Linked DNA regions of Arabidopsis thaliana. The protein of the gene in region 2 interacts with the protein of the main gene of each other region in a pairwise test. Each region holds a gene or a part of one and is shown on either strand. Other genes may lie near its edges.

Region 1 (9,891 bases), on a different chromosome or scaffold from region 2:
ATGATGATTTAATATTAAACTGCTTAGCGCGCGTCTCAAGATCAAACCATCCAACTCTCTCATTAGTATGTAAGAGATTTCACTCTCTCCTTGCTTCAGTAGAGCTTTACCAAACCCGAACCCTCTTAGGCCGCACCGAGAGGTGTTTCTACGTGTGCTTACGACTCCGTACTGATTCTAAACAACTACATTGGTTCATTCTTGGCCAGAGACAATATAGTTCCAGAAAGATTTTGGTCCAAATTTTATCTCCCAATTCTACCTCTGCGGGTATTGCAGTGGTTGGTCCTAATATCGATGCCATTGGCGGAGGAATAAAGAGTAATACTTTGTCTAGCGTTATGGTCATGGACTCTCGTTCTCACACGTGGCGTGAAGCTCCAAGCATGCGGGTGCCCCGCATGTTCCCATCAGTTTGCACCCTTGATGGGAAAATATATGTAATGGGAGGCTGTGATAATCTAGATTCAACGAATTGGATGGAGGTTTTTGATACGAAAACTCAAACTTGGGAGTTTTTACAGATCCCTAGCGAGGAGATATTTGGAGGCTCTGCGTACGAAAGCGTAAGGTATGAAGGAACCGTCTATGTTTGGTCTGAGAAAAAGGATGTGACTTACAAGCTACATGAAGGTAGATGGAGTGCAGCAGACATGTCGGCGAATGGTTGGGGTTGGCCAGGATCTTCTTATTGTGTGATAGAGAATGTGTTATACAGTTGTTTTGTCCACAAAATCCGTTGGTATGACCCCAAAGAAAGAGTATGGACACCTTTAAAAGGACTGCCTTCCTTGCCTTGTAATGGCCACGTTAAATTGGCGGATTATGGTGAAAAAATGGTGATTTTGTGGGAGAAGTATGTGGATGTTGATGAGAAAAAAATGATTTGGTGATGCGGAAATTGCGATAAAAAAACGCCAAAATGGAGAAATTTGGGGAACGGTAGAGTGGTTTGACAATGTGTTTATGTCCAATGGGCCAAACGCTTTAATGGGTTTAGTGCATGCGCTTACTAGTACGGTTTGGTGACATGAACGTGTGAACTGAATCAAAGTCACCCAAATTTAGTTTTATTTTGATTTTTCCTTTTTGATATTCTTGTCGAACCCGAGACCTTGGAGAATTGTTTGGTTATGATTTTTCTTTTGCAATTCGTTTGGCAACATCTAACAATCTAATTTTAGTGGTAAGCAGAGCTGGTTCACTTCTATTATCATTCAACTGATGAACCACGAGAACGCTCTCTTGTGCATTCAGAGGCTTCTCCTTGGTGCTAAGTACGCTAGCTTTTTGCAAGCTAGATGGGACTTGCATGTCTCTTTCAATATAATGGAATACAACCAAAACACACAGATTGTGTTTCCTTTTTCCCCTGTCCAAAAAGAAAACGTGCTTCAACTCCTGCATGCTTCTTTTCTTTCGATTCTACAAATTCCAAGACCATCTGTTTATTGCTTGTTCTGGAGAATCTGCTATTGCCTATTGTATGTTTAAATAATTTCTGGGTTGTTTTTTTGTACTTACTTATTCAATAAAGAGAGCTTGAGGAAGAATGCTATTGTTGCAAGACAGAAACTTTTGGGCCAGCAGTTACTTTGTTGTGTGAAGTGAGAGTTTCAGATAATATGGAGATGAGATTACCTTTGATTTACTTTTGGTCGCACGTCTAATCAGATTCATGCATTCACTGCAAGTGGTTATATTATTCGTTTGTTTCAGTCTAGGTTTATTATCATGTCCTTCAGAATTACAAATATACTGTCATACATAATACATTCACACGTTTATAAAGGTATGCTTCCTTTTACAACTGAATCATCACATCTGCTTCATGGGTTCTGAGATCTTGTAAAGTAAGAAGCATATTATTCATTATCAGTTTGGTATACTGAACAACTTACACAGAAGAAGAAGAAGAAGAACTGAATCACTTGATGAGAATGCATCTTGTCGGTGCTCCTTCCGCTCCAACTAATCTCAGCGGTAAGCAATGAAGCGAGTATGTTCCTACCTCCACACCATCCAGCTTCAGCGCTTCCACTGGGATTATATCCTGAAAACATGTGTATCTCACGTGTTAAGACGTAGTTCATCTCCCTTTTAAGCCTACCTATCTCTCTCACTTTCTTGTCCAGTGAATACCGCTATATTCAATCATATCCCATGGTTTGACATCCAAACATCACAGGAGAATTGGAAATGTTTAGGTACTTGAATATTTTTTTATAGAGAAAGATATACTAACCCGTCCTTTAAGTATAACCCTGTGTGTTGCAGGTGATTCCTCAAAAGCAGCAAATGAAAGATAATCAAGCCCTGGATTCCACAATGCAGAATAACCGGTTTCAGAAAAAAATGTGTAATACAAGCTATCGATCATGAAAAGCTAAGAAACCGAAATTGTCCATCTCTTACCAATAAGTTTGATGTCTGTATTCTCAACCAACCATTTAGCCCCATCGGTCATGAACCCAGCAAAGCTTGAATCAAACTCTTTCTTAAACATAAGCCGCCTAATATATATATCAAACACAGAGTGAGTAAGCTTATGCTCTCTAGTTGTTTTTACCAAGATTAAGGTAATAACACACACTCTCAATACTGAGACTCTTACTTGTCGGTGTTGGATGTTCTAAAGAGCACACGACGAACTCCTCTTTGTATATGAAGTGATTCCATTACCTCAGCTAATAAATAATAATCCAACCCAAACACAAATCATTAGACAAAAGATACTAACTTTAAATTTTCGTTACAAATTCAACAACTCACCAGTAATGTTCTTATCTCTCGGAACATCAACCAACAAAGCAGGACCTATATACACAAAAACCCCAATTTCAAAACTTTATCACTAACCCAACTAAAATCAATAAACACCAGATTCAAAAATTACCATTTAGGACTTGGAGATCAAGCGAATCAGTATCAAAACCAGCATCGTAATAATTATCCCAAAAGTGACCTGGAGCATCCACGTGAGTTCCAGAGTGAACAGATAGTTTCATCTCCGATACGTTAGCGAATGATCCATTCTTCATACTCGCGGCTAATCGCAGGAACGTCTTTCCCAATCCTTCCGAAGATTCCCAAGCTGGAATCTCCGGCGTGTAACGATGGCTGATGTCGTATATCTTACCTCCTTCGTAGACCTCACGGCGGATTGGTTTGGGATCGTCGGCGAGGAGAGAAGAAGAGAGGGAGAGTACAACGGCGAAGAGGAAGAGAGGGAAACTGACGGACCGGGTCATTGTTTCGGGTCGCCGGTTAACGGGTTCAATTTTTTATACTAGTGTTTAGTAATCAAATGATTAAGCTATGGTTTATATAATGGACTCCTTTGACCTTTGACTTTTGACTTTTGAGTTTGGCAAAACCGTCTATATTGACTAAAAATAGCTGAAATGATTTTTATTAAAACAATCTGAATATCATCGAGGATAAAATAGCTGTCCACATTTCACAAGCTTCATCAAAATATTGACGTCACGTTTCTTGATTCTCTTAATCAAAGTGTTGATGTCACGTTTTTAACTTGATGATAGAAAGGGACAAATTAAGAATCGGTTTAATCACAAAATGTTGATGTCACGTTTCTTGCAGAACGTATAAAAATATTCATAGCTTGATGTTACTATAGAAGCTTTATGATTTGCTTTATAGTTAATATATACTCCATTGTTGGCCAATTGGTGGAGAGATTGTAAATTTGTAATAATGGGGGAATTGAGTTAGTGGTGGTGGATACTGGACAGGCCTAGCCCAACATACAGGGACGGGGTTATTATACCTTTTGCCTTCCAAAATTGTTTTTGTTTTAGACAGCCCATAGTGATGGGCCGGCCCACCATGAGCACACTGATCCAGAGCCTCTCCCTTTTTTCAATGCATTTAGCTTACAAAAGCAAAAGGTCAGAGATTTGCATATGAATTTAATTGACTAACTCCAAAGTATTGATTTTGAACAAAGCTATGCATAAGAAACTTCTTGGTTACTGTTTTGTTTCAAAGAATCTGATGATGTTTGTAACATATGTGAAACTGCAACTTTCTGAAAGTTTATTTTTGTTGTTTATTTCTGATTCTAAAAGTAAACGGTTAGGTGAATTTGTTTGTTAGCGTTGTGATAAATTTTTAACACTTTTTTATTTATTAAAAAATGTTTTCAAACTTCTATTTTTGTATTATTACTATTAAAACTTTGGATATTTCTTTTTCAAATAATATTTTGGTTATTTTTGTTACAAAAATTTTGTTATGTTTTCAAACTTAATACATGTTATAGATCATGTATTAAAAATATAAAAATAAGATTTGGCCAAAAGACATGTATAGATCATGTATGTTGCCAAAAAAAACTAAGAATGTAAGATTCTCCACTGATGGATGTAGAAGTTACAGTGATATATAATACAAGATTCTTAATACAAGAAAATGATCCTCGGCAGCATCACAAAACAAGATTCTTGTCGATCAGTTTTTAGAAGAAGATTGGAAGATGAAAACCGCAGCTAGAACACCAACCAATGCTGTAACAGCTAAAGCAACCGTAGGCAATGGACTTGCTACTCCAAAATTCTGAAATAAGAAGACAAATCAAATCTTAAGTTATTCTACTTCTCTTACATTTCTCAAACTTTCAACTTTTATATAAGCAACAATATCAGTTATGATGTTTGATTACCTCAAGAAGTCCTTTTCCAGTGGAAATCTCAACAGTAATGGCAACTGCAAAACCAACCATGGCGCCACGACCAAGCCATATATCCAAACCACTGCTTCCTTCTGTACTTTGCTCACTTCTTATGGAAACTGATGCTGCTCTGTTTCCTCCTCTACGGGTCATACTCAACTTCAATGGCACTGAAACGGACACACACAACATACAAAAACGAAAGAAACAAAGTTTCAATTTTTCCATGGATTTACTCAGCTAACAAAGACAATGCAGAAAGCAAAATTAGAAAACTTTATGATAAATATTGTTGCCCCATATTTCAGATAACCAAACTATATATGAACAATTCAGTAATCAGAAATATCAAAATTTGAGCCCAATTTCAAACTAAACTTCAAAATGTAGAGAATTGAAGAATTTTCTCAGGGGCAAGGAAGACGTACAGAGAGGAGAACCAGAAGCGAAGGTGGATCGGATTCCAGCAAGTTGCGGAACATGAACCCGACATGTAGAAGTTGGGTTTGTGATTGTGGCTAGCTTTAGGGCACCAGAATCTGGAAACATGAAATCCGAAACTAGTCAGATACATACATTATAGAGACAATTGTACAACTAGAGGAAGAAGAAGGGTAGCGAAGAGAGAAAGAAAGAGTACTGGGAAGAGAAAAGGCGAGAGACGCAGACACTTGAGATAAGGCCATCTTCCTTCTACGTAGATATCACAAGACTCTCCCTTTCTTCTTCTTCTACTATTCTCCTTCCTTCGTCTTCCTTTCTCAAGAGTCGCAGAATTATCTGTTCAAGCTGAGGACACGTGTTTTCTCTCCACTCATTAAGTTCGTATCTTTTCGAGCTACACAGTTTTCCAAAACGGTGGCGTTTCACAAACAACTGCATCTCTTAGAGCAAACCGAACCTAATCTGAACCAAACCAAACCAATTTTGAAAAATTGGATTGGCTTAATTAACAGATTCTCTACGATAGTTACATCGGTTCGTTCAATTGGGTTATAAACCAATTTGTGGTCACTAATATTCAGGAAATAAATATTCAGAGAAGAAAGAAGCACTCAAGTAATAGAAACCATAAAGTTGAAACATCAAAGAGACACTACTCTCAACGTTACCAAAACTGTATGAAAGCCAAAATAACATTATTGCCTAAACCAACAAACAACATCAAATCTTCACCGGTGAGATTTAAGATTCAAGAATCAACAACACACCAAACTAGAGCTTGAGGAAAACGAACTCCTCAACCGCTGGAATTTCCCCAATCTTCTTCAGTGTCTCTTTGCTTGGTATGTCATCTACTCCAATCGCCATAATCGCTTGCTTCCTCGGTGCAATTCTCCCAACGCTCATGAAGTTAACATTGACATTAGACTCTCCAAGGATGCTTCCGACAGTCCCGATCATACCAGGTTGATCCACCTGCCTGCACAGTATGATACTACCTTCAAGAGTTACATCGACCTCAAAAGATCCAACCTTTGTCAAATGCGGGACTCCGTCTTTAACCTTTCCTTCCACTTTAACCTCTCCTGATTCAGACAGGGAACTGGCGAATTTGGACTCCACATTGCTTAGCTGAACAGTTATTGTCTCCAATGGGCTCTCTGGTGAACCATCCAAAAGCACACGTTCCTCTGAGAGTCTGAGACCTCTCTGCTTGGCTGTGAAATCAGCGTTGACCAAATTGACATATACGTCAGAGATTGGCTCGATGATTCCCTTGGTGATCATGGCTCGGAGAAGTCTGGTGTCAAGATCATCAGTGGCTCTTGCTGAGGCGTATGTGATTTTCGCGTTTTTCACACCGCTTCCTCCGGCCACCAGTTGCACTGCCAGTCTTCCTAGTTTCTCGGCTAGCACCACATATGGTTTCAGCTCGGTCAGAACCTGCAGATAGAATGCATGTAAGCTTGAGCAAATAACAAACATGGATAGTCTTAACAATTGAAATCTTCCAACTTGAATCTGATAAGAACAAAGCTATAAACCTTGCTAGTCTAAAATCCAATTCAGAAATCACAGAAACTTGATTAATGAGGCTCTTAAAACAAATCCCTAGAAAACCCACCCTCACTTCAACAATTTTGCCGCTCACTAACTTCTTTCTAACCAACTCGGAACAAATATAATTTGCTACATTCATTCCCAGGCTAGCTACAGTAAATAGGCTGATAAGTTTGCCTCTTTGAAACAACACCAATATGTGTGTATTTACTAGCACAAGCGAGTGCTCACCTCAGCAGAAACCATAGGTGCATTGACTGCAGTAGCAGCAAGCTCTCCATTCAGAGCTCCAACAACAGCTTCAGCAATTTCGATGGCAACTCCTTCCTGTCAAAGCCAAAACACCAACTATATAACAGAAGCCAAACAGAAATTTCATGATTAATTATCACCTGAACTGTAAAATGAATTGCACACCTGAGCCTCCATGGTACTAGCTCCAAGATGAGGTGTCACAGTGACCCTCTCGTGCTGCACGAGCTTGCTATCTTTAGCCGGAGGCTCTTTGGTGAAAACATCAAGTGCAGCCTGCGCAACAATACCAGCATCCAGAGCTCTCACTAACGCATCTTCGTCTATGACACCTCCACGAGCAACATTAACAATTCGAACTCCCTTCTTCATTTTGGCAAAGGTTTCGTCGTTTAGTATCTTCGATGTTGTTGGCGTAAGAGGCATATGAAGAGAAATGAAATCCGCGGTGGCAAGGGCTTCATCAAAGCTCACTAAGTCAACACCAATGGCGTGTGCACGGTCTGCTGGGGCATAGGGATCATGAGCAATGACACGCATACCAAGACCCTTAGCACGACGAGCAACTTCCGTCCCAACTTTCCCGAATCCCAACACTGCAAGGGTCTTTCCCACAAGTGAAACACCTACATACTTGTTCCTCTTCCACTCTCCTGCATTACAATGGTATTATTAAAACCAAGATCCACAAGTCAGCTAGATAACAGACAAGAATGATCAAAACTCAATTTCAAAAGAATCAGCAAATGTAACGATCCTAAATTTCACCATCGTCAACAACAGTACAGGAAAAGGAAAGCTCATGATACAAATTAATAAACACAACAAGCCATCAATCACAGGTATAGAAAGAACATAATCAATAAATATTTCGCAACATATGGAAAGTATGAAATTGAGGCAATGAATCAAAAAGGAACTAACCAGCCTTAACAGACGCATCAGCTTGAGCTACGTTCCTAGCCATGGCGGCCATAAGAGCGATTCCGTGCTCAGCGGCAGCGATCGTGTTCGCCGTCGGAGCGTTGACAACCAAACACCCAAACTCCGTCGCTGCACTCAGATCCACGTTGTCGATCCCAACACCAGCGCGACCAACAACCTTGAGCCGTCCGTGAGACGATTCGAACACCTCACGGCCAACCTTAGTCCCACTCCTCACGATCAAGGCGTCACAGAGCGAGATCTTAATGTTGAGCTCCTCAGGAGTCATGTTATACGAACAGTCGACATTCGCGACATCCTCCAAAAGCTTAATACCAGCGTCACCGAGCTTCTCCGCCACGAGAATCGTAGGCTTAGATCCGTCTCCAGTACTGCAGGAAACGAGAACGAGGCGTCGCTGAAGAGTATTGCGTCCACGGGAAGGGAAAGCCACGGAGATGGCTGATGGAAGGGGCGATCTGGAAGACAGAGTCACGTTCCTGAGAGAGTTGGTGGCAACGGCGATCGAGGAGGAGGCGGCGGCGGTGGCTGACATTGCTACCGCTTTTGGAGTGTGAGTGAATTGAGTAGAGAAAAATATTGTTGGTGGCGGAGTTATAACACGAGGGAGAGATCTAAAAGGTTTTATAGTCGGCTCAGGGGTTTGGTGTGATGTGATAGTATTTTGACGAAGGTGATGAAATCTCACGCGCATTTGGCTCGCGCGTGTGATTCAGTTTGGTTTAGTGATCTGCAAAATGTTTCGGCGAATAGAATTTGCATAGTTTACCGGAAAAATTGCCAAACCAACAAAAAATAAAAAAAAATGTACAACTTTGAGGAAAAGTAAACTTTATTTATTACATATCTCTCTGACCGAGAACAAAAGATTACTCGAAAATTATTTACAGCTTTGAAGATTTTTGACAATGCAAATAGAGATCTTGAAGAAGCCTTATTTTGATGGCATGAGGAGTCTCACGATGTCTGTCAGATAATCAGATCATTGACTTAAATACAGTATCTATAAAAGATTTTAACATTTATGTCCCAAATGAAAAGAAGACTTGTAATGTTTTTTTTTAATGTAGAGGAGTTACTATGTTTATAATATATCCAAATCATAAGTTTCCGCAGAAATTTCAAAATGAAGCAGGAAATTTCATAATTTTGTTTTTCTTTCTAAGGGAGTGTCTGTCCATGCTTCATGCTTGAATGCAACAAGTAGTAATAAAAGATTAAAAGGTCCCCGCACTACTAGTAAACGAGGCCATACACTAGAGGGAGAGCCGCACTTTTTAGTATTTGAAAACAAATTGAAGACTTCAAATTTAAATTGAATTGGACTTTCTTTTTGAAAAAACTCGAGAGTTTTAGTTTTCAGGGCAAGTGATTTGTTTGTGTCAACTTACACACATGTAAATACATCAATTGTGAGGAGGAATATTTGAAAGGATATACTGATGGCTGTGACGTAAGTATAATTTATTGCACGTGAAAGATTTGCTTAGTGTGTCTTTGCAACTGCTTAGATGCATTGTTTTTGGTAGGTCGACCTGTTGACACCCCCCGTATAGTATTCAACGCAGCCGCGCGTGGATGGGTGTACTGTTGAATCTTCGTATATCTTTTGGTTTATTTTGGTTTACTCAACTGAAATTACCTTTTATGAAAAATGAGTCGACAATTAATTTACTTTTTTTTTTTTTTTTTCATTCTTTCATTTTAACCCAACCATGGTAAAGTTACAACAGCATAATAAAACTCATATAAAGGCCCAGCAACATAAAATTACTTATTTCTTTCAGTTAAGGAAAATAAGTATTTCGTTATTTTTTTAATTGCTTTTTTTTTTAGAAACAATAACTATCTATATATACATTTTTGCAGCCACTTTAACAAATAAATCTTCACTTAGCACTTATTTACTATGGCATGCCATTGACATTTATTATTTTACTAAACTTATTTTTAAATATAAATATAAAATCTATTATGTTACTAAAATTTATGAAATT
Region 2 (12,325 bases):
AATTTTCCCATGGCAAGATACGCAGCACCACGCCTGTAATAGCCCTGTGATTCAGTAGATAATCAGTGAATATGGCTGAATACACGAAGAAACAGGAACATCTTGTCACAGGATGATACCTTAGAGTATCTTGAATCAACTTCAATGGCCTTCGATGCATCCTGTATTGCACTGCCATATTCCTCCAGTTTTGTGTGAGCAAATGCACGATTTGCCCAATACACAGCGTTGTTGCTGTTGAGTTCAATAGCTTTTGTATATAGATCAATAGCACTGGAGTATTTGTGACCTGTAAGCAACAAACAACATTAAGCAAAAAGATAGGAGTACCTCACTAAAAGAGTTGAAATAAACTGATGCCACAAGATTATGTAAAGGTTTATGATAAATTACACACCTTTAAAAGCTTCGTTGGCCTGACTTTTAAACTCCTCTGCCCGTGAAACATCAGAATTCTCATTCTTGGTCTCCATGTTGTCAGGATGAACTTATCTCTTACTGAATTCCTTATTATCCGGTGAAGCCACAACTGATTGACAGAAAATATGTAAAGTTAAGGTTTTATCTCAGTCATGCCCAAATGCACGATAGCAATAATCATAATCACTTGGCCAATTCCTCATCAATAAGTTTTCTACTTAACAGGGAGCTAGTTTAAGAGCTTTAGACATTGAAATTATACTCAACCTAAATAAAGTATAGATTTTTCGTAATACAGCCACTGACTTTAGTCATGCAACGAGATACATAGGAGGAAGAGAAGTCATTCACACAGAAAAACATTCCTACACATTAATGAACTTGAAAAACGCACATAACTAAATCCAGCTAAGAACACGAAACATAACAGATAAAAAAGCATTAAGCGAATAGATAAGAAGCAAAAAGTTGTGAACTTTCAAATTCTGCATCGTTTTCATAACAGCTCAACAACGAATTAGAAGAATAATCAGAATCGTGGCCGTGACAAGTGGAAAAAATATATCACTTACAAACAAATTCTGTGAAAGGATCTATTAAAACCCAGATAAGAGGAAAGCAGAACTGGACAACAACAGAAGGAAGCCAGCGTTTAAGACATGTTTTGTCGGGAAATCAGAGAAACTCATTACTCTAAAGATAGATTCAAACCTGAAAAAAGATTCAATCTTGGCGACAGCGGGAGAGGAAGAGGTTGACGAGGAGTGAGACAGGTTTTTTAAGAGAAGCTTCAAGTGACTAGAAACCCTAGATTAGATTGGTCAAATTAGAGTATACGCTTCAATCTATGAGAAAAGAGGGGTTTTTGGAAATTATTAATGTGTGTTCTTTTCTTTTTTTAAGTTGAACAAAATAAAAAATAAAATTATTAATGTGTTTTTTTTTGATAAATTGGAAATTATTAATTTTGCGCACTCAATTCTTTACCAATTAAATTAAATAAATGGACGAAGAGATATGTAGACTTGTATTATCTTTTTCTGACGTCATATATCAATTTTTTATGTATGGTTTGTGGATAGAGATGGACAAATAATAATAATCACGGATCTCAGAGTATTAAAGTATAGAATATAGATTAATGACCCTAACAAAATTAATCACATTTTTTTTACGTCATATGAATTACATTTTTTTTGTCGTTATATGAATTACATTTAAAAACTTCCAAAGATGTGATTTTATTATTTTACATAATTAAATTAGAATAAAATTAGATTTAGGAAATTAGCAAAACACCAATTGTGATATAGCGCGAGCTTGAATTTTATTTTTATTTTTATGTCAAAAAGAGTGTTGTATTCTCATTTTAATTCGAATCGTGTCCTGATGTTTTGTTTAATCAAATTGAGACCCATCCAAATGTATGTTGTCAAAAAGAGTTGGACTGGCTTCTCTAATAGTATCTTTGGTCATAGAGTACTAGAACACAAATTTGTCACCATAAATCTTTCAAACATATATATCTTTTTCATTATAGTATTGCTCTATACAATCTATGTACATACATGTACAAACCAAAGAGTAATGTTTTTCTTGACTCTTGATCTTCCATCTCAATGCTTTCTAGTTTCTTTTTCAGCCTACATTTGAACACAAATAATGAAGTTAAACTCCCAGAATATATGTATTGGATTATATATACATAACTATATTAAAGATCAACAAGAGAAATCATATACCGCTTTGATTGCTTTCTCAACAGAATCCCATCCAAACCGGTCAACGTAGTCTTGAACCGATTTTCTAGCATCAAGACTCATCATCTGTAAAACTCTTCTTTGTTCGTCTGTATAATTCGTTCCTCCTCCAACATTCATCCCAATTTTGACGTATTGTCTAACAAAATTGGAGTAAATGTAAGCTGCACCACTGAACATTGGTAGCACCAACCACATACAGAACAAAAGCTTCAAGTATGGCCAAAATGGTAGCCTACAATATGCAAAAGAACACCATTTTTTTGTCTTTATAGGCATAAATTTTTGAATTCGTAACAGAATTTAGTGAATAATATTGTAATTACCAGGCAAGGACTCTCCAAACGGATAGCTCGAATATCGTTATTAAAGAGTAAATGATCCAATATGTAAGCCATTGTTGATCATCTAACATTGTTGGACTCTCTATTGCTCGAAATGATGCATACCTAATCATTTATTCAGTTAACTATCAAGTTGCATTTGTAAAAACCAAACATTTAAATTCAGATTTGATATCACTTACAGAGGATAGAGAAGCATGACTCCAGGCCTGCATGCAACAAGAAAAAGGAAGAAAATAATGTTAAAAATTTGACAAATATAGTGTTTATTTTTATTATATGAGACAGAATTTGAATAAAATCCTACCCAACTAGAGCATCAAAACGTTTTGCAATCGCAATAATGAAACCCATTTTCTTTTTGAGTTTTTACTCTTCTTTCAACAGAAACTTTCTCAAACGTCTTTAGCACTGTGACGTTGGATATATACACAAAAGCTTGAAATTTCTTCAAGCAAAAGAATCTTTGTGGGAGTTAAGGCAACAAGCCAGGTAAAGAATCTCCAACGCATTGTTACGTTTTCATGAACCTATTTATTATATGTTCTAAGAAGAAAAAAAATATCTCAAAGTAAACGTTGGAAAATTTCTGATGAAGGGAAATCCAAAGTCTTGGGTTTAGTATCCCTATGAATGGTATTTGGAATATGTTTTCGTCAAAACAAAAGATTCTTTTCTTTTTCACAAGAGTTAGTGATCAATAACTTATGCACTAATTAATGAGATTGGACGTATACACAATTTGATTATGATACTTGAGTAAAAATCACCTGTCCTTTAATTTGGAAATCTCTCTTTCTTACCCATTTATATACTACTTCTTTTCATTAAAATTAAATTTCAATTATCAATCATCGTTCAATTTGATAAAGATTTAACATTTTTTGTCACAGGGCTAGTAAAAGCAATCTTTACATAATTCATCTTTCTTACATATATATATTACCTTTTTCTTCATTAGTATTCTATTTGATTATGATTATTTTGTCATAAAGCTAGTAAATTAAACACTCGATATGAGAATTATATTACTTCACGCTAATTAACTCTTAACACAACAAGAACTAGTGCATATTCAACTTTCAAAGCATATACTATATATTGAGAATATAGACCACGAAAGTCAATCAAAAGACCTACCAGCTCTCATCAAGTTCTTTCTTGAAATGATTTTGCAGAATTTCCAACTTAATTAATTCGACATGAATGTGAAAATGTGTGTTGCTCGTTAAGAAAATTGAATAGAAGTACAATGAAAATGATGAGGAATGGGCAAAACACAAAAGAGTTTCCTTTCGTAACTACAATTAATTAATGCAAATCTGAGAAAGGGTTCATGGATAATGACTACACACATGATTAGTCATTCCCCGTGGGCTCTCTGCTTTCATTTACTTTATTAGTTTCATCTTCTCTAATTATATTGTCGCATATATGATGTAGTTCTTTTGTCTAAATTACGTAATATGATGTAATTAATTATCAAAATAAATATTCAAATTGCCGTTGGACTAACCTAATGTCCAAGATTAAGACTTGAACATAAGAATTTTGGAAAAACTAAACCAGTTATAATATATACTCTTAAATTGCCATTTCTGAACACAACCAAATAATAATATATACTATTTACAGTTTTTTTTAATTGGCAAGAACACTGAAATCTTATTCATTGTCTCGCTTGGTAGTTGACAAGTTATAACACTCATATTCATATAACCCCATTCTAACGTTGACGACGAACACTCATATAAACCACCCAAATTCTTAGCATATTAGCTAAATATTGGTTTAATTGGAAATATTTTTTTTATATATAAAATGCCAGGTAAATATTAACGACATGCAATGTATATAGGAGTAGGGCAATAAAAAGAAAAGGAGAATAAAAAGGGATTACCAAAAAAGGAAAGTTTCCAAAAGGTGATTCTGATGAGAAACAGAGCCCATACCTCTCTTTTTTCCTCTAAACATGAAAGAAAAATTGGATGGTCCTCCTTCAATGCTCTCTCCCCACCCAATCCAAACCCAACTGTCTTCTTTCTTTCTTTTTTCTTCTTTCTAATTTGATATTTTCTACCACTTAATTCCAATCAATTTCAAATTTCAATCTAAATGTATGCATATAGAATTTAATTAAAAGAATTAGGTGTGTGATATTTGAGAAAATGTTAGAAGTAATGGTCCATGTTCTTTCTTTCTTTTTCCTTCTATAACACTTCAGTTTGAAAAAAAACTACCAAACCTTCTGTTTTCTGCAAATGGGTTTTTAAATACTTCCAAAGAAATATTCCTCTAAAAGAAATTATAAACCAAAACAGAAACCAAAAACAAAAAATAAAGTTGAAGCAGCAGTTAAGTGGTACTGAGATAATAAGAATAGTATCTTTAGGCCAATGAACAAATTAACTCTCTCATAATTCATCTTCCCATCCTCACTTCTCTTTCTTTCTGATCATAATTAATCTTGCTAAGCCAGGTATGGTTATTGATGATTTACACTTTTTTTTAAAAGTTTCTTCCTTTTCTCCAATCAAATTATTAGGGTTCTTCAGTTAATCCTTATAAACCATTTCTTTTAATCCAAGGTGTTTGAGTGCAAAAGGATTTGATCTATTTCTCTTGTGTTTATACTTCAGCTAGGGCTTATAGAAATGGAGGGTGGTGCGAGTAATGAAGTAGCAGAGAGCAGCAAGAAGATAGGGAGAGGGAAGATAGAGATAAAGAGGATAGAGAACACTACGAATCGTCAAGTCACTTTCTGCAAACGACGCAATGGTTTACTCAAGAAAGCTTATGAGCTCTCTGTCTTGTGTGACGCTGAGGTTGCTCTTGTCATCTTCTCCACTCGAGGCCGTCTCTACGAGTACGCCAACAACAGGTACACATCTTTTAGCTAGATCTTGATTTTCTTGAATTTTTTTTCTAGAATAAAGTTTCGACTCTTCTGGTGGGTTTTTCAATCTTTATGGTCTCTTTATAGTTTTTTTCCTTAGTTTCTCTGAAGCTCAAATCTCTTTAAAAATCCCCAAAATTAGGGTTTGTTTAAAACTAGGGAACCCTACTTTAACTTCTTTCTCTTAGTAAAAAAGCAGTGAGGGTCTTCTCTGATCATTAATTAGCATCCCCCATACCTTGTTCCAGTCACTTTTTCTCCACAAATCCTTATAACAGTATCTATATATGTATCTATTTATGTCAGTTTGTACAAGACACTTCGATCAATTTGATGACCCATCAAGTTTTATTTCTGCAGATTGATCATTAGGTTTCCATCATAGTAATGAAAAAGTAGGGTTCTTGATAAAATTATAATAATATATATTATTTGGCTATATAAAAAAGCTATGTAGATTCCTTCAAAATTGATTCACTAGGGAGAGACTAGTAGGTGTTTGTCTTCTGACACTTCTCTAATCTTTTGGTGAATCCTTTTGTTAAATCAAGAAAATGAATCAGGGACAAAGCTTATTGTTGAGTCACTTAATTAATCATCCGATCCATCAATCAAGAAAAATAACGAAACAGAAAATTTTGATTTTTGATTGTTATTTTCTCCACTTCAAGTTGGGGACTTGTCATTTCCGTTTTTCTATACGTTTCCAGCTATTAACAGCTCATGTTCATTTCACCATTTTGATTATTTGTCTGCTTTTTAAAGATAAATGTTTTCAAAAATATTGTTTTTATTTGCTTGGCTAGTTAATACTATAATTGAGGTTGATGTATGACTATAATCTATAAGTCAAGTCTCATATCATGGATCTAAGTTAAAACTAGTAAATTTGTAGTTTCAATGTGAACTTTCACAACGACTAAAGAACTGATCTGAAGTTTATAATGGACATGACTAATTTGATTAACAAAAGAGGAATGCATTATGTATGTAGAAACATGTGATATATATATGTTTCTATTATCAAAAGTGTAGTTAACTTTCTTATTTCAAACACCCTCATGCTTTAGTAGTATCTTACTTTTGACATTTCTCAACTTCAGCTTTCCATTATACAACAGCACAATGTAAATTACTTGTATATGAATATGAAAGCATAACGTTATGCAAAGATTTCTAGCTTTTCTTTTTCTGTTTTGCAAAAGATTTACAAATATCATGTTCTTGGTAAAAACATACTTGCCTCAGCCACATATGCATGTAAATGTAATGTTCAAATATTAATTCAGGAAAAACAAATGAAGAAGCAAAATTAGCTTCTAGAGTAGGGAATCTATTGACTTGACCTGAAAATCACTTCTTTTTCTTAAAGCCTAGTAGTGAATTTTTTAATCTAATTAGGCCAAAATATATACTAGCCTAAAATATAATTTGGATTTTGTGTCGTACATAAATTGGGACCAATTCCAATTAACTAAGAGCATATGCAATTCAAATTCTTTTTATTTTCTTCTCCGATTTGCTACTTCTTTCTTTTGTATGTTTTCAAATTAGGATTACACTTTTTTGGGGAAGTACACATTAGGGTCTTCTCGAACTTTGATTATACATATATATATATATATATAACTTTGTGAGATGTCACTGTTAATAGATAATAGGCAATAACAATAATATCCCAAAAAAAGAAGGGCAAACAAATCATATACTATATGGTACTGGTCCATTCACTATTTTGTCGGTTGAATTTAAGGTTTTGGGCGGACAAAACTTTATTTTCAAAACCTTAATATCCGTCTTTCTGTGTGTTTTGTATATCCAGAAGATAAAAATATCAATTTCTTTAACGACTTCATATATATATATTTTTTTCTCTTCTGGTTTTAGTGTTTGAATCCAACAGTTATAGTTTCGTGTGTCTTTGTTTTACTTGTGGTGGTTTAAGTTTGAGATTTTCACCGATTGCATCTATTTACATATATAGCTACCACAAAAAAGATTGCATTTTAAAATCTTTTCCTTTGTGTGAATGTTGATGAAGTGTGAGAGGAACAATAGAAAGGTACAAGAAAGCTTGCTCCGACGCCGTTAACCCTCCGACCATCACCGAAGCTAATACTCAGGTTAGCTTTTAATTAATACACCTAGCTAGCTAGTTCGTTAATTACTTAATTTCTTCTTCTTTTAGTTATCTGACCTTTTTTTCACCTCTTGTAACAATGATGGGATCGAAATTGATGAAGTACTATCAGCAAGAGGCGTCTAAACTCCGGAGACAGATTCGGGACATTCAGAATTTGAACAGACACATTCTTGGTGAATCTCTTGGTTCCTTGAACTTTAAGGAACTCAAGAACCTTGAAAGTAGGCTTGAGAAAGGAATCAGTCGTGTCCGATCCAAGAAGGTACAATCACTAACTCTCCATCAATCTCCTTATCATTGAATATATATCCATCTGATTCTTGCCCGTTATATTTGGTTTTTCTCTCCAGCACGAGATGTTAGTTGCAGAGATTGAATACATGCAAAAAAGGGTAAAAGTAAAACCTATCTTCCTTCACAAGTAACTTACCCCCTACTTTATTAGCAACTTCTCTTTCTGATGATCATCTTTTTTTATTTTCTGTTGTCGCTTGCATTGTAGGAAATCGAGCTGCAAAACGATAACATGTATCTCCGCTCCAAGGTTTTATACATAACTCTTTTTGGCATTTTTGATCATCATTTTTTTCCGGTAGACAATCTCTTGATGTGCAAATTCTAAATATCTCTGCAGATTACTGAAAGAACAGGTCTACAGCAACAAGAATCGAGTGTGATACATCAAGGGACAGTTTACGAGTCGGGTGTTACTTCTTCTCACCAGTCGGGGCAGTATAACCGGAATTATATTGCGGTTAACCTTCTTGAACCGAATCAGAATTCCTCCAACCAAGACCAACCACCTCTGCAACTTGTTTGATTCAGTCTAACATAAGCTTCTTTCCTCAGCCTGAGATCGATCTTATGCATATATATATTCATGTTACACTTACTGTCAAAAAACTTAAAATGCAGATGGTAACGATTTGAGAGGGACCTAATAATTTACATATATCTTGATTATGTAAGTTAAGGCTAAGACAAGAGATCCAAAAATAAAATGGGATTTATTGCTAGTTAGTGTTGCATATTCAAATCAAAATGTGTTGATGTGACGTAAAAAAAGCATATGCAATTTCAACAAGACTATTGAGATGCAGTTTGAGATGCAAAAGCTGCATATGCATAGATAGATCCCAAGTTACATCTAATTAAGATCTTTCTAAATTCTAAATCATGGACATGGAAGATATAAGCGATATATATAGGCCAAACCTTTTTCCCCCTTTTGTTTTCAAACTGCAGAGGATATAGTCTCTTTATCCTTCTAAATCAGCTCAGGATTTTTCACTTTCTAAGGTAATGCATAAATTTACAAGAAAGAGATCGTAGATGGTACCTCAGGTTTACTAAGACAAGGCAACTGAAATGAAAACCCTTGTGAATTTGAGAGTCTTGCTAAAGTTCAGTGGATCAGGATCTTAGTCCCAGCGTCATGTCATAGAGGGACAAGAAGATGTGTAAGATCTTCAACAGCAATAAATCCTGCTTGTAGAAGTTCCTGTATTAACACTCTGCAGTATATGAGACTGTATCAAGAAGGAAGCTTGATGTGAGAAATTGATAGTCTCTACATCCACAGCTTTACCAGTACCTAAAACTATGAAAGGACATCATGCTGCATCATAAGATGGAACTATTAGTAGAACTTTGTGTCATAATGTTTTTGGATTTTAGAACCCTTGACCTTTAATCATTCTCATTCTGCGTCGAAAACCTGCAACAACAGAAATGGCAGAAGATATTTGAAAACAAATGGAGCTAAGAGATGTACCATTTTCTAATGAATTCAACGAGACTTTTCTTCCTCAATTCCATTGTCAGCAGCTCCTCCCAAGCTTTCTGCAAGACTTAATACATTCATGCATTTCTCACCATGATTTATAGTATAACGGCCAAAACCTGTCATAGTGTCTTGACCTAACTTTTACTGCAAGAGAGCAACCAAACAAGCTACATATCCTATCAGTTTGATTTAGTGAAAACTCTCATAGCTAAATTTTGTTTACTGCTACATGTGTTCTGGCATCTGTCTTAATCTGAGGTGACTGTCTCCAAAAAATAAGTTTAGTTTCCTTAACATAGAATGTGATTAGGTGAAAACAGAACACTTTCAATTCAAAATGATAAGAAACCACTTAGTGAGCTATGTTCCGAAAATTCCACATGCTGATGAACAAATCAAGCCTAGAATATTCAATCGATGCATCCAACTTAGCAAGGAAAAAAAGTTGAAATTCTTGAAGAAAAATAACTGCAGAGCTAGAACTTGAGAAAATCTACTTAATGCTATCATCACAAACCAAATAAATCATCATCCTCTGTTCACACATTGATCATGACAAGCATATATCACAATTTCAAAAAGTTTACTCGTTCAAATTACTTCAAAGTTTCATTACTTCTGAAAAAGCTCTCCATGGCTAAAACAGATTCAGTGGATCAAAGTTTGATTACTTCTGGATTAGTATTATTTTTCGTATGGATTTTGTTGACATTATTAAAAAGTTAGAATCAGTCATAAGATCATAAAGTAGGAAAAAATAACAGCCTTGGGTGAAGATAAACTTGGATAGAGATATTTCTCAACCTCCAAAGATGTCGTGTTTCCATAACCATGACACACCAACTTAATATCATGAATGCAATTCCAGACACCAATAGAGAGAGTCATTAAAGATATTTTCATTGGTGGGTAGAACTTGGGGTTTGAAACTTGAATGCATGGAGACCATCTTGCAATATTTACTCCACAGAGTTTATTACACTAACACCACACTTTTGATATGTACTCCTTCCTTCTTTAATGCTATAATGTTTGCTCCTTCTCTCTCTTTCTCCTGCCCTTGTCGTTTTTGGAGTTTAATCCAGTTGTTTTCACTTTATAGACACACCTCTTAGGCATGATTTTAAAAATGCTCATGAACAATTTAATGCAACAGTTATGACAATGTGTTGGTCTGTGAGCATGTTAATCTAGATTTGGACTTTGACTTCTCTGTACCTTGGTCTATACATTAAATTATCTGTTATCTCTTTCAATATTGATGTTTTATGATCCTATCTATAGTTTCTTGTTCGGGTTAAACTTGCATATGATTCATTTCTTTGGACATTCTTGAACAGTGATTGAGAAACAGAGGAACTACTAAATCTTATTTAAGATCAAGAAATTTTTTGAAACAACAACATTAAATAAAAGGAAGTATCCATCATAAATATTACTAGAGACTATAGGACACTTCAAATTCTACTGAGCAACACAAATGACAAGATAATTAATTAAGATTGTTTTTGATATAAACCAACAAACAAACTGAGAAATGAAACTCTCTTAACTTCAGACTCTAGGCTTTAGACGACCTTCATTAGCAAGCTTGAAGGTATGGGCCTGCTTTGTGGCTGCCTTGTTTGAGGAAAGTCCTGCAACAAAGTGGTCTCTAACTTGAGGGGTTGTGAAAGGGAACTTATGGTTGACCATGGAGTTTAACCAAGAAGCTGTGCCTTCACGGTAGAGAGCACCAATGGGATCAGAGCGGGTGTTGGAAAGTGCCTGAAGAAGGTTCATGTGAGGATCAAACCCTGGAATGCTACTGGGAATACTGACTGTACCAAAAGCTCCTCCAACAGTTCCCCACCATCCAAGCAAGCCCCATATCAATGTAGGGTGGTTTCTCCAGTAACTACACAAAAGATAAACAAAACACATGAAGTGTGATAATTGATATCATCATCTGTCTTATGATGTTTGTATAAGAGCGAATGTTTTGACACTTACTCGCATGTTCCAGTGATTGGTGGGAAAGGAGCAGGAATGAAAGGAGTTCCAGGAGTGCCTGGGTCAATGATAGGAGTTGGTGGGCTTCCTCCAATGATGGGTGTGCCTGGATCAACAATGGGTGATGGTGGAGTCACAACAACCGGAGTTCTTGGTGGAGGAGATGAGTAATATCCACCAGAAGGAGGGTGTGATGGCGTTGGGTGCGAAGGAGTGGAAGGGTGTGAAGGCGTGGAAGGGTGGGAAGGTGGACTTCCACAGTTACAAGGAGGGGTGTGTGGAGTTGGCGTGTGTGATGGAGTGTGTGGAGTTGGAGTGTGTGATGGAGTGGAAGGAGTTGGAGTATGTGATGGAGGTGAAGGGTGAGAAGGAGTTGAAGGAGAAGGGTCGTAAGGTGGACTTCCACAGTTAGAAGAAGGAGGCGTGTGTGATGGAGGAGTTCCATGTGAGCCTGCATGAGTTAAGTGAAAGAAGCATAGTGAAGATTCTTATTACATCAAGCGAATAAAAAAAGTTACAATGTTTGGTTTCTTACCAGAGGGAGGAGATAAGTAGTATGTTTTGGCATCCTCAAACCTTACGGAAGCAACAGAAGCAAAGAGCTGCTGTGAGAGTAAAGCAGCAAAGAGAGCCCAAACGGCAAAACTCACCATCCCTCTCATTTTATGAGAATTCACTGAGATTCAGAGAGAAGTTTGTTGCAAATGGTATTGTGTGGTAGAATAAAAACCGGATACTAGGGTTTATAAATAGAGGGAAGGAAAGAAGCAAAGGGATTTTTGAATTAAGTTTTTGAAGTAAATACAAACAGGTGGAGGAGTGTGTGGTTAGTTGATGTGTTGCAGGTGCATTTACACTATCCCATTTAATACCCCTGGTGATTGCAATAAAACTTGGAATTCTGCAAAGTAAATTAAAATAAGATAAGTGAAAGAGTTGAATTATTTAATCTTTCATGCAAAGGCATGGACGCGTATGAGAAAG
Region 3 (11,290 bases), on a different chromosome or scaffold from region 2:
AAACGGTCCCAAATAAATGATTTAATTACGCATACAGTTACATTTTTGATTTTTTTAAAAAATAGGATAACAACTCAAACTAAAACAATCGTTTAAAATTTTTATCAAAAAATAAACTAAAACAATCATTAAAGTAGCTAGGTACATTTATAGACAAATTTTTTTTGTTTTTTTTTTTATAGACAATATTATCTTACAAAGTTTGCGAATGATGATTCTGTAAAAAAACAAAAAAAAAGAGTATGCGAATGAAACCTTTGGCGATAATTTGAATCTCAATGAACACTCTTCCCCTTCATTATTGTTTAAGAAATGATTAGAAGGCACATCATACCTACATATTGCCCTCTTACATGTCTTTGTTTTTTTTTACTTGTGATCTATAAAGAAATATTGTTTTCCATGCACTAATTTAAATGTTATATATATATATATATATATATATATATATACTCCTTAAACAATAATTTTAAATTGATATATATAATTATATATATATATATATATGCTGTTTATGTATGTTGTTTACACAAGTATTTCTTTAAATATGAAATTAGTTTATTCAATATATTTTTTTGTTTGCTCTTTTGAGGTACCCGTGATTAATCATGAGTCAAGCTCAATTTGGCCTCTTTCTCCCTTTATCTTTTGCATGTTGGGGCCTCCTTCAAACAAAGTTGTCGAAAATCATATATTGCTACATTAATCTTCTTTATGTGCTACTTAATCTTAATAATCAAATTTATACTTTTCTTTCATTTACGTTTTCGTTACATATTTACGTATATGTAATTATGTATTATATAGACAAAACAAATACGTCACACGGTCACAGGAAGATTTTTTCCATGATAAAAAAATACTACTAATGTAAACAGTTTACGTACGTGTGTGTCAACTAAAATAAATTAAATGTGGGAGATGGAGATTTGAGCCACGGCAGACAAAGCTGTCTCCTTCAGATCAGCCTTGGAATATGAACAGTAAAACTAAATAAATTAATTCAGTTAGTACTAGTAATTTACACATTTGCATATCTCGACATGAACATAGGAAATTGTAAAGTAATTAAAATTTCGTTTGACGGATTTAGAATATTGCTTCGGGATTTTAAAAAGCAGGAATTAAGGCCTTTTATTCAAGTTTTTTTCAGACAAGGAAAATTGTCTACGTGAAAATAACCAATGTATAAACTTTGGTTTTATAAATGCATTAGTTAATTTAACAGCATAGTTACGGAACAAAGTGAAGTCCAATGTTCGGATTCTTTCCGGCAACAGTAGGAAAATCCAAATATATGTTGCTCGGATTTTGAAAATGTCTTTTGCACACTCACAGAGAACAATTCAGTTTCGAGATTCGAAAACTTTTAACTAGTACTCCATTTTATATCAATAATTTTCCATTTATTTTTATGTTTCTTTGTGTGATCTATCTATCTTAATATATAAACATGTGCATGTAGACCTTTAACTGGATATATATATGTCTAAGCAAATTAGAATTCATTTGACCAAAAAATAATAGTGTTCATAACTAAGTTGTAAATTAAAAAAAATCAAAGTTTTAGCATGTTAACTTATATCATTCATTTATATAATTATATTAAACATAACTATTTCTCTTGCTTCTTTATCACTTTCCAATGTGATATAAACTGTTGGGACTTTTTAAATAGTTTAATCATAAAGCTATACATAGATTCCAAAAATATAAAGTGACAAAAGTTAATCTAGAAGGTTTTCTACCGTATTATAGAAAATGTCGATTTGAATGACTAGCTAAAACTTTTACTGCTTATATGTTATCTGTCAACGCATGACTTACATTTTACCGCATATAAAAGATGATCTAACATTCGATAGGAACCACTTAATACCATATACCAATATATATGTACATATTTATCGATCGGTAGAAATTTCTGGAGAGTGTTGGGAAAATGAGAGGGGTCAAAGGAAAGAAGAGAGGTAGGGAATAGGGATGGTCTATTTCTCCCAACAAAGGGGTAGGATATTGATTGGCAATAAATGTTGTCTGAATCCTACATAATTTAAAGATGTGCGTTCATAACTTTTCCAGATTTTCTACTGTTTAGTTTCAGCTTGTGACCAATGTTAAAACAACCCATACATTATTGTATGTATATCCATCTATAACAGAATTTTTTTTTGCACATTAATGTTATGTATATCCCTCCAATTACTGTATGTATTAAAATAAGGTAACTAACTGTTAGGGACACAACTAATCTAACATTTTAGATTAGGTTCAAATACATTTAAGAAATAAGATGAGTAAACTTGAATATGAAATGAATACAAAAGAGGCAAGCATGTGGGTTTTGATTGGAGGAGATGATGAAAGTTGTGTCATTTGTGTGAGAGTGTGTGTGTAGAGAGAGAGAGAGATGGTCAAAGGAAAAATGAGATGTCAAATCAAATAACAGTGAGTGAGAGAGAAAGATAGAGAGCAAAAAAAAAATAACTGTTGATACCATCAATCTTTGCTCCCAAACAACCCATCACACCCTTTGGGCTCCACTCTCTTCTCTTTTGTTTTTTTATCACCCTCCTTCACATTAGTTTGTGCTTCTTCACCCATTTATCATCATCTTCATGTACATACATACACGTGTATATACATGACTGCATGCATACGTATGCAGATATAGGAACCGAAGGAATATTCACTGTTTATGCATACCTTTATACGTGAACGAAAATTAGGTCAATATGACAATATCTAAATCGAGAGATAATTTTGGTTTCGAATTCTAAGATTAAAAAATAAAATGAAAGTGAATCTTATTTAGTTCAAGAGGTGTAATGTTCCTTCAACGAGCAAATTTGTCTCTCCACTAACAAAAAGGAGAAGAGGGGAAAAAAAGATAGCAAAAAGGGAGCATATTGAAAAGCTCTTTGCAGGAAGAAAAGCCTCTCTTTAACTGTAATCTTAGTATACAATCATATCCAAATTGGATCTTGAATTCTTCATTACCAACTAACTGACACAAAACAAAAACTGTAACTACAATAACAAGACAATCACTTGTAGTCCGGTAATTTTGTTTTCTTATATATATAATATATAGTAAAAATAAAGAAATCTTTTTGACAGGCTTCATCAGGTTAACAAATGCAATATTCATTTGGTGCTTATTAATCGGAAAGTTAATTAGTATGAACATCACTACATATATATAGGACAATTTTTTCATGAGAACGAAACCAACAAAACATTTTATTGAAGAAACAGTATAATATATATTATAATTGCCTTTTATATTTAAAATTTGAGTATTACACCCCATAAAATAATTAAGAAAAAATATAAAAATTAACACAGATGTTTTGAAAAGAAAAAAAACGCAATATACTTTAAACGTTTCATTTCAAGTACTTGTAACCATTCAAAAACACAAGGTATTACGCAAACGATACAAACAAAAACTGAAGTGTTTCAACTGTTGATTATGTATTAGATCAAGCAACATATACATAAACTAAAAAAAGAAAGAGAAACGGACGAGAGTAGCTTTTAAACTAATTGCTATGAATTGGTAGATATGACAATAACTAGCATCGGCATTTTGATTTGTTTTCTCACATTCGGATGAGTTCGTGAGAATCAAGAATTGTTCAGTTGAATGATATTTTTTGGTAAATTATGTACTAAAGATTTGAATTATTTTAATTTAATTTTACATGCGTTGATAAAATATAAACCAAAACACATCTATAATTATTTATGTATTGTTATATTCTCAAAACATATGGGATGCGTATCATCATCACATTATGTATAATTTGGTATTCGATCTTCCTAATAAAGTTCTGCACTTGAGTACGTAGCAATATTCTCTAGTGTCCATTCTCTCATTATTTTCCATGATGTCACTAGACAATTAAGTATCACAAGTATTCTTATAAAATAAAACCAACGATAACTCCACCAGAAAACAAATATCTGTTGGAATAAAAAAAAAACTAGAATCTATTATTACTCAAATTGAAATTTGGAAATATTCATTTTGATCTAGAATATGGTATATTAAGAGAAAATTCTTATGCATGAATGTATAGCATCTACTTTTCTTGTCTTTTAGTATCCTAACAAACATAATTTAAACATTTATAAGTTATGTCCTTCGAATTAACGAAAGGTGAAGCTAATGACAAAATAATATACAAATAGAAATAAACCGTTGGGAACCTCATTGGTTAGACTGCTACATTGTCTTGCAATAAATTTAACTAGGAAGCTAAAGATACAATTTAAAATTTTCCAAGTGCTCTTGATTCATTTTTTTCCTATGATCAATTAGATGATATAGCTTTTAGTTTGAAAAGCCCTACCTCCATCAAAACTTGGTCCATAGATTTAGGTTTCTTATAATTAATATATATACCGAATTACTTAGTACTTATAGTAATATATATAAGCTATTTAGACTGCATTGACTCATGATCATTGTCTAATTGTTCTACCTCAGAGGCAGGCTCATCTTCTTCATCAAACCCATCAATTCCGTAGGCTCCATGACCATTCCCAAAAGCCTTGATGTGATCTTTGAGAGATCTCTTGTGCTTGAAATCAGATCCACATATGCAATACCAAAGTTTGCCACAATTCTTCTCATGTGTTCTCCAGTCCCCTCGGACTGCGAAAGCCTTTCCACATTTCCTACACATGAAAGGTTTGATCCCATGTTTTCTCTTGTAATGTGTTTGAAGGGTTCTGAAGTCTTTGAGAGGCTTTGCCCTTGGATGGTCAATGTTGTTGCGACAGCCTGGGGCGCAGCAATAGCACGGAAGCCTTAGCATTCCTGTTGGTTGTGTTCCCCTTAGAGATTCAGGTCCTTTTCTGTATTGTGATCCATGTCCCCACATATGCATCTGTAAACAAAATCATGCATGTATATATGATCATCATGTAGGGTTTGGATAACTTATAGTATATGTTCGAAAAGTTCTAAAAGTGTGAGTCTTGAAACTTTAGCTTATGATATGTGCATTAGCAGTTTTAATAACATGTGTCTTCTATAAGATGTAATGATTACTCTAGCCAGCATACATAGATTATCAATGTTATGATGATTATTCTAACCAGCAGACGCAACTTAATTAGCAGATCAACCTTGAAGCATATGTAAAAAGACAATAAGATGTCAAACAAATGCTGAAATGTAATCAAAATTATAGAAACGAATTTCATAAAAAAAAAAAATATATATATATATATAATAATAATAATAATAATAATAATAAGATATGTCAATGCATGCTTAGGTTAACAAATTAACTAAGCAAAACTTAAAAAGAAAAAGATGCTTAGTTTATGTTCAGTACAAAATCTTATCAAGCTCATATATGTAGCAAACAAATGAAGCCTTATATGTATCTATGTATATTAATTGAAATATGGGTCTGTGAAATCGTATCAGTACTGTTATTTTACACGTTAGACATTTGAAGACTCTCATACAAAAAAAGGGTGACACACTTGCCAATATTGTAGTGAAAAGCAGCAAACCACAGAGACTCTGAAAGTACTAAAGACATAAAGAACATTTACTGTCTTGTTAAATCTCAGTCTCAGACTTCACAGTCTCAAGTCTCTCGGTTCTTTGTAATGCAATGATTTATTCATGCATCAGTGAGCAAAGACACGTCCTCTGATTGATTTGAAAACAGTATGTATTTATATATATTTATTTACCGATTTAAGGTGAAAACGTTTTTGTTTTTTTTCGAGGAAATTTAGTGAGCAAACCTATTTTCTTTGGTTTTTACCTTTTGGGTTTACTCGGAATAATGAAGGGAAAAAAGAAGTCGATTTACATGGAAAAGAAAACGAAATTCTTCAAAAAGTAATGCGTATTGAGATATGTTAAAGATTTAGATTAATGAGAGTGTGATTAATTAAGAACCTGCATGTTATTGTATCTGTTGAAGGTTTTGAAGCAAACAGGACATGAGAACTGAGTAGGGCCAATGAGAATCTGAGAAGGTGTAGGGATCCAATATTGACCCTTGTTGAGTCTGCTGATTCTACAGCCGCCGTCTCCGCCGACTGAATCTTCATCGTCATCTTCTCCTCCTCCGACAGCTCCGTGGCTGTACTCATGGTCGAGGTCTTTCTTGTGATTCATGTCCTCGTGATGATGAGTGGTCCTCGAGGAAGAGGAAGAAGAAGACATCATGAGCAAAGAGGCCATCTCTTGAGCACTAGGGCTTGGAAGGCCTATGTGAAGAGCAACGGTGACGTCATGGTCATCGTCATCGAGGTTATGATGATCATCTTGATGGTGATGATCGTAGTCGACATCCATGGAGGTTGAAGGTGGTTCTTGAATAAGGTGGTCATGGTTGTGATGGTGGTCTTGTTGTTTGTTGGCGGGGCTGAGGCTGAGGAGAGGGAGGGCTTCTCGGAGAGGAGGAGAAGGAGGAGGAGTTGGTGGCGGCGGTGGACGGCGGAGGTCTCCGGATTGAGGGAAGAAGAAGAAGGAAGAGGGAGGAGTAACAGGAGGAAGAGGATGAGGAGAGGGGTTAGTGGAGGAATTAGGGTAATGGTGAAAAGGATTAGACTTGAACCAGTCTGTGAAGAAATTGGAATAAGGATCAGTCATGGTGAAGAGAGAGAGAGAGGAAGAGAAAGGAATAGTTTTAAGACTTGTGGGATTATCTTTATACAAGAGACATAGATGGGAGATGAAGATGGAGATGGAGAGATTGTGATGGGATGGGAGAGAGAGAGAGCTTTTTTTTTGGGTTGCAAAGAGAGATTTTCTTTGGGTGCAAGAGAAAAAGAGAGAGAAAGATTATTAATTATGGACTGAAAACTAAAAACTGACTTTAACGAAAAAAAAAAAAAAAAGGAACTAAAGAAGCAGGTCAAATACGAATGTGTATTAGTCTACGCAAAGTAATTATTTCATTCAGATATGTAGGTCCTTATTCTTTATAAAAAAAATAAAACGATGGTTAAGAAATAACCAGTGCGGTTAAGACTGTTTACGATGTTTTGAAGATAACATTTATAGATTAGGCAGTAAGCATTAGAAATTCAGATAGTAGATTTTTTTTTTTTATTGGTGATTTGTTTTTGTTAAGAATATAGAATTAAAATAATTTTTTAATCAATTTAAAAGGTTTTCAAAATCTTATAAGTTGTTATAATTATAAACTACAAATCACGTTCTTTAATTTTCTTACTATTATAAGATGTCTTAATTTTCGGACGACATCATAGTCTCATAATTCGTGTGACTGAGAGTTTCTACGTATGATCATGGTAAGTAAACACAGCGTCTGAACCTGCACATCAGAACTATATAACATATTACTTCATTGTATTTTTAAAAACCGTACAAAGATCTAACTTTGGATCCTTATTCAATTTGTGTATCTCTTATACCTGGATCTTATAAGGAAAAAGAATGCAAAACCATTGAATGATGTGAATAATTGTTGTTCGTATGTTCAAGTCTGAATTCACTTAGTTTATTGTCAGACTATGGTCGTTGAAAAAGAGAGAGTAAAACTATGCTTGAATATGACGATTTTTTCATGGTGATTGTTTTACTAATTAAACGAATTAAAGTAAATCTACAAAAGGGGCTCTAATTATATGTATTATCTAATTTGATTAACATTATCAGATTACGTAAGGCTTAATAGCACAGGAACTTGTATTAACATATTTAAATCATAAAAGTCCTTAAATATTCCACATCTGTGGATTATGTACTTAATTAAAAGCATTAGTGGATGCCATTTCATACAAGTAGGTCAAAATGTAATAAAGATGATAATAATAGACATTGAGGATTAGGGCTCGCTTGAAGAGTATACATACATACGCTAAAATACCAAAGACAATAATCTTATAGCCAATATGACAAAACAAAAAGCTATTCGAGTTCGACCTATATTGGCTCCACGGAAAAATTGGAATTTATTTATTTATATTCACTATGAGTGAAACAGGATTAATATATAAAAAGGAACATATTTGACAAAAAAATAAAATAAAAAAATACATAAAGCATATGAGGTTCAGATACATCATACAAAGATAATGTCACTGCTTTTTGGAGATGGCTCTCATCCCAATTCCCAAACAAATTTTCTTATCTTAAAAGCCTTTCCTCAAAAAAAGAAAAAAAGAAGCCATATCTTATCAGTTTGAGACTTAAAAATAGTTTTGAAACAGGGTAAATTTGAAAAATAATGTAACTGTCTAAATACCGATGGACAAATTAATTAAATAAAATTGTGGCGTCATTCCCGACTCATGAGCTAATTAAAAAAAAATAGCATAAATTAGGACACAATTCTGATTTTACAATTTTTGTGTTTGTAGTTTAGAAAAGAAATAAATATCAGTAAAATCTACTCCTATGACCTAGTTTCAAAAATATATAGACAAGAAGAAGGTTAGATAAATAATATCTTTCTAGGTTTAGAAGGACAATATTTCAAAGTTTGTGAGTAGTTTTGAAGTATTATCCCATATTTATGCTAGGTTAGATTCATTTTAGGATATAGATTCACATATAATGGATTTCTTCCTCATAAAATTTTAACTATAAAATAAACAAAAATAAATAAATTGAAAACACACATATGGGAATTCAATAATTAATAAATTTGGTAATCAAGTACGAGGACCCGAGAGAAAACTGGAATGTATGTATTCGTAAAAGTTTTGGGGGGTTTTGATTTTCTATTATTGACATGAATTATTAATTCGATGAACCAAATTATGTAGTTTTGCTTATGTTAATTGTTTATTTATTTTATGAGTTTTAATATTTATATGAGAAAAAAGGGAAGCAATTGCATTGGTGTGCGCATCAATGGTCGGCTTTCCCTCAAACGGTAAGATCATTGAATGTCCAAATCCCCACCGCAGATCCTGCCTCACTGTTCCTTTTCTTCCTTCTCCACTTTACCCAATATCTATAATTCTAAATTATACACAAACAAACAATTATCTATTCTTTCTTTGTTATGGCACAATAATATATATATATATATATAGATATATATGTATATTCAAATCTATGAACAAAGGAAGAATGAAATATCGGTCGAATAAAAATGCGGAACACATTTAATTTTTGCTGAAAAGCTATTTACTATATATAATCGGTGAAAAAGAAAAAGAAAAAAACACAACCCTTTTAGTTATGCTGAATTGTGTTTTTTTTTTAGTTACGAAATGCAATTCTATCGATTTGAAAATATATTTTCTTTAGCTAGAAAAGGTCTCTCTAGGAAATTATAGGCTTTCCGTCCATAATAACGAATAATTGATAATATATGTGAAAACATAAATCATTTCTTTCTGACGGTGACCCAAAGTCTACTGTAAACAAAATTTCAGTTTCTCTCCAAGATAACTTTTTGCTCGCTGAGTAAGTTATCCATGTTTGTTATGATGCAAAGTAATCAGGCGATGATATAATATATGTGCTAGATTCGGTTTTAATATATGGACCCATCATATTACGTATCGCCTACATTACCACATATCGTAGTTCAAAATCTGATTCTCATTAAACTCATTCAAATTATTCGCATATATATATGTGAGTTGGCATTAATCAATTTTAATTAGTATATGAAAGTTGTGATGATTACGCATATATACATTTAAGTTCCGAATATTAATAAACATCATGATCTTAAATTTCTTTAAGAAAAATAAAAATAAATCATGATCTTAATTTATTGTCACAATACTAGTGTATTTTTTGTGATGACATAATTTGGTTTTATATATCCATCATGACACTATTTATGCACAAAACGAACCACATGTTCACAAAGAACATTTCATGTTCACTGTTGCAATTGTAATGTTGTTGTTTTTGGCAATATATGTAGGTTATAAACATGAGTACTATTTTCACCAGTAACATCTACATTGGATTATTTCGACCTCATCTTTAATCCACCAATCAGTTAATTATGCAAAACACATTCACATCTTAACTTGATCGATTGCAGCATTTATCTGTGTAGATGCATGGTGTATAAATTCTGTACTGGAGTTGAATATGCCCGAATTAAATTTTGATATTATGGTAGTTGAATAATTCCGCTGTAGAACTTGTTTTTCATGGTGAAACTTCTAAAATGTGTTATTTACGTAGCTCAACAATTGTTGAAACAAATGGATGGTATCTTTATCAAAGTAAAAGAACAAAAAATTGTAGAAATTTTCAAGATATGATGATGGAAAATACCTAATGTTAGGAGGATATATAATAATAATGGATAATATTCTTAGGATATTAACTTGAGAAACATTCTTTGGATTTGATATAATATGGGTCTTAGTAGGTAAACCTCATATTGAGTAGAATTTCAACGGAATAAGACTTCGGCCTTATACAAGAGGCTGGGCCCTCACAAGCAACACATTGTGACTATTTGTATGTGTGTTATATATACCCATAGAGCAGGAGAGAGAAGCCATCACCATATGGTTCTTCTATGTCCCTCTTTGTGCTTAGGTTTTATTTTGGATGTGACCTTTTTATGTATATTATGATAAAATTTAAAATTTATGTGTCGGGTCATGACATCATTAATTCTATATAGAACATTTATATTGCATGTGATGTTTCTTATATGAAACAGTTTTATCGATACTACGACTAAAGGTTTAAATAGTGATTCTGTTTGCTGAGTTCAACTGGTAGAACTGCAATAAATACATACGGTCATTTATTATTTTTATTTTTTTAAATTACATATTGCTGTATACGTACAGTAATTAAAAAGAATTATTTTGTTGAGTTGTGAAACGTTAATCTTGGATCTGCTGTGAAGCTATGACGATTAGATCAGATGATGATATCAACTTACATATAAGAATCTTATAAGAATTTTTGGGATATTAGACTTGTATTAGCTTTGTTCAAAAAAAAAAGACTTGTATTAGCTTGTCATATAGTTTTCTCATTGTTTCTTGTGTATTGCTCTTTCCATTTTTGTAGAGCACAAAAAAGAAAAAGAAAATATCTTATATATAGTGAAAATCTGCATTGGCGAAAACTGACCATAACTTTCATATGAACAAAAAAACAGAAACAGTGTTGCATGAAGTTTTTCCATCTTCCTCAAATTACATATATTGTTTTATGAGTGTCGAACTTGGGACCCAACTGTTAATAACTTAATATTCTGTTGACAAATGAAGGAAGGATGTGGCACGGTCATGCGTCTCTAGTTTAGTGTGTGATGATTTATTTTTGGTATAATGAAATAAATGT

What was found.
Region 1: the proteins of SHP2 (region 2) and SEP1 interact in a two-hybrid assay, tested with the Arabidopsis thaliana proteins (one study listed by BioGRID).
Region 3: the proteins of SHP2 (region 2) and NTT interact in binary tests that used the Arabidopsis thaliana proteins (3 or more experiments, as listed by UniProt).

The regions. Positions count from the first base shown.
Region 1 is NC_003075.7:16,368,133-16,378,023, forward strand, and holds SEP1 (stress enhanced protein 1), read right to left. Parts: upstream 5,605-9,891; 5' UTR 5,380-5,604; coding exon 5,334-5,379; intron 5,233-5,333; coding exon 5,122-5,232; intron 4,864-5,121; coding exon 4,685-4,863; intron 4,579-4,684; coding exon 4,474-4,578; 3' UTR 4,201-4,473; downstream 1-4,200. Other genes in the region: AT4G34170 (Galactose oxidase/kelch repeat superfamily protein), read left to right, coding at 1-152, 210-893; AT4G34180 (Cyclase family protein), read right to left, coding at 1,928-2,053, 2,246-2,316, 2,416-2,513, 2,615-2,687, 2,773-2,817, 2,897-3,251; EDA9 (D-3-phosphoglycerate dehydrogenase), read right to left, coding at 5,909-6,580, 6,929-7,024, 7,115-7,602, 7,874-8,429. UniProt on the Arabidopsis thaliana protein: May be involved in non-photochemical quenching, a process that maintains the balance between dissipation and utilization of light energy to minimize generation of oxidizing molecules, thereby protecting the plant against photo-oxidative damage.
Region 2 is NC_003071.7:17,815,424-17,827,748, forward strand, and holds SHP2 (K-box region and MADS-box transcription factor family protein), read left to right. Parts: upstream 1-4,831; 5' UTR 4,832-5,003; intron 5,004-5,163; 5' UTR 5,164-5,178; coding exon 5,179-5,405; intron 5,406-6,834; exon of another isoform or gene 6,835-7,461; coding exon 7,462-7,543; exon of another isoform or gene 7,544-7,663; coding exon 7,664-7,825; exon of another isoform or gene 7,826-7,913; coding exon 7,914-7,961; exon of another isoform or gene 7,962-8,065; coding exon 8,066-8,107; exon of another isoform or gene 8,108-8,197; coding exon 8,198-8,383; 3' UTR 8,384-8,590; downstream 8,591-12,325. Other genes in the region: PP5.2 (protein phosphatase 5.2), read right to left, coding at 1-44, 120-289, 398-473; HVA22F (HVA22-like protein F), read right to left, coding at 2,037-2,063, 2,163-2,415, 2,507-2,629, 2,707-2,733, 2,832-2,878; PDF1 (protodermal factor 1), read right to left, coding at 10,904-11,246, 11,342-11,792, 11,877-12,003. UniProt on the Arabidopsis thaliana protein: Probable transcription factor. Interacts genetically with TT16/AGL32 in a partially antagonistic manner during flower development. Is essential for the coordination of cell divisions in ovule, seed coat development and endosperm formation.
Region 3 is NC_003074.8:21,366,277-21,377,566, reverse strand, and holds NTT (C2H2-type zinc finger family protein), read right to left. Parts: upstream 6,811-11,290; 5' UTR 6,632-6,810; coding exon 5,933-6,631; intron 4,899-5,932; coding exon 4,446-4,898; 3' UTR 3,976-4,445; downstream 1-3,975. UniProt on the Arabidopsis thaliana protein: Transcriptional regulator required for normal differentiation of the ovary transmitting tract cells and pollen tube growth. In Arabidopsis, the transmitting tract facilitates the transport of pollen tubes to the ovules for fertilization.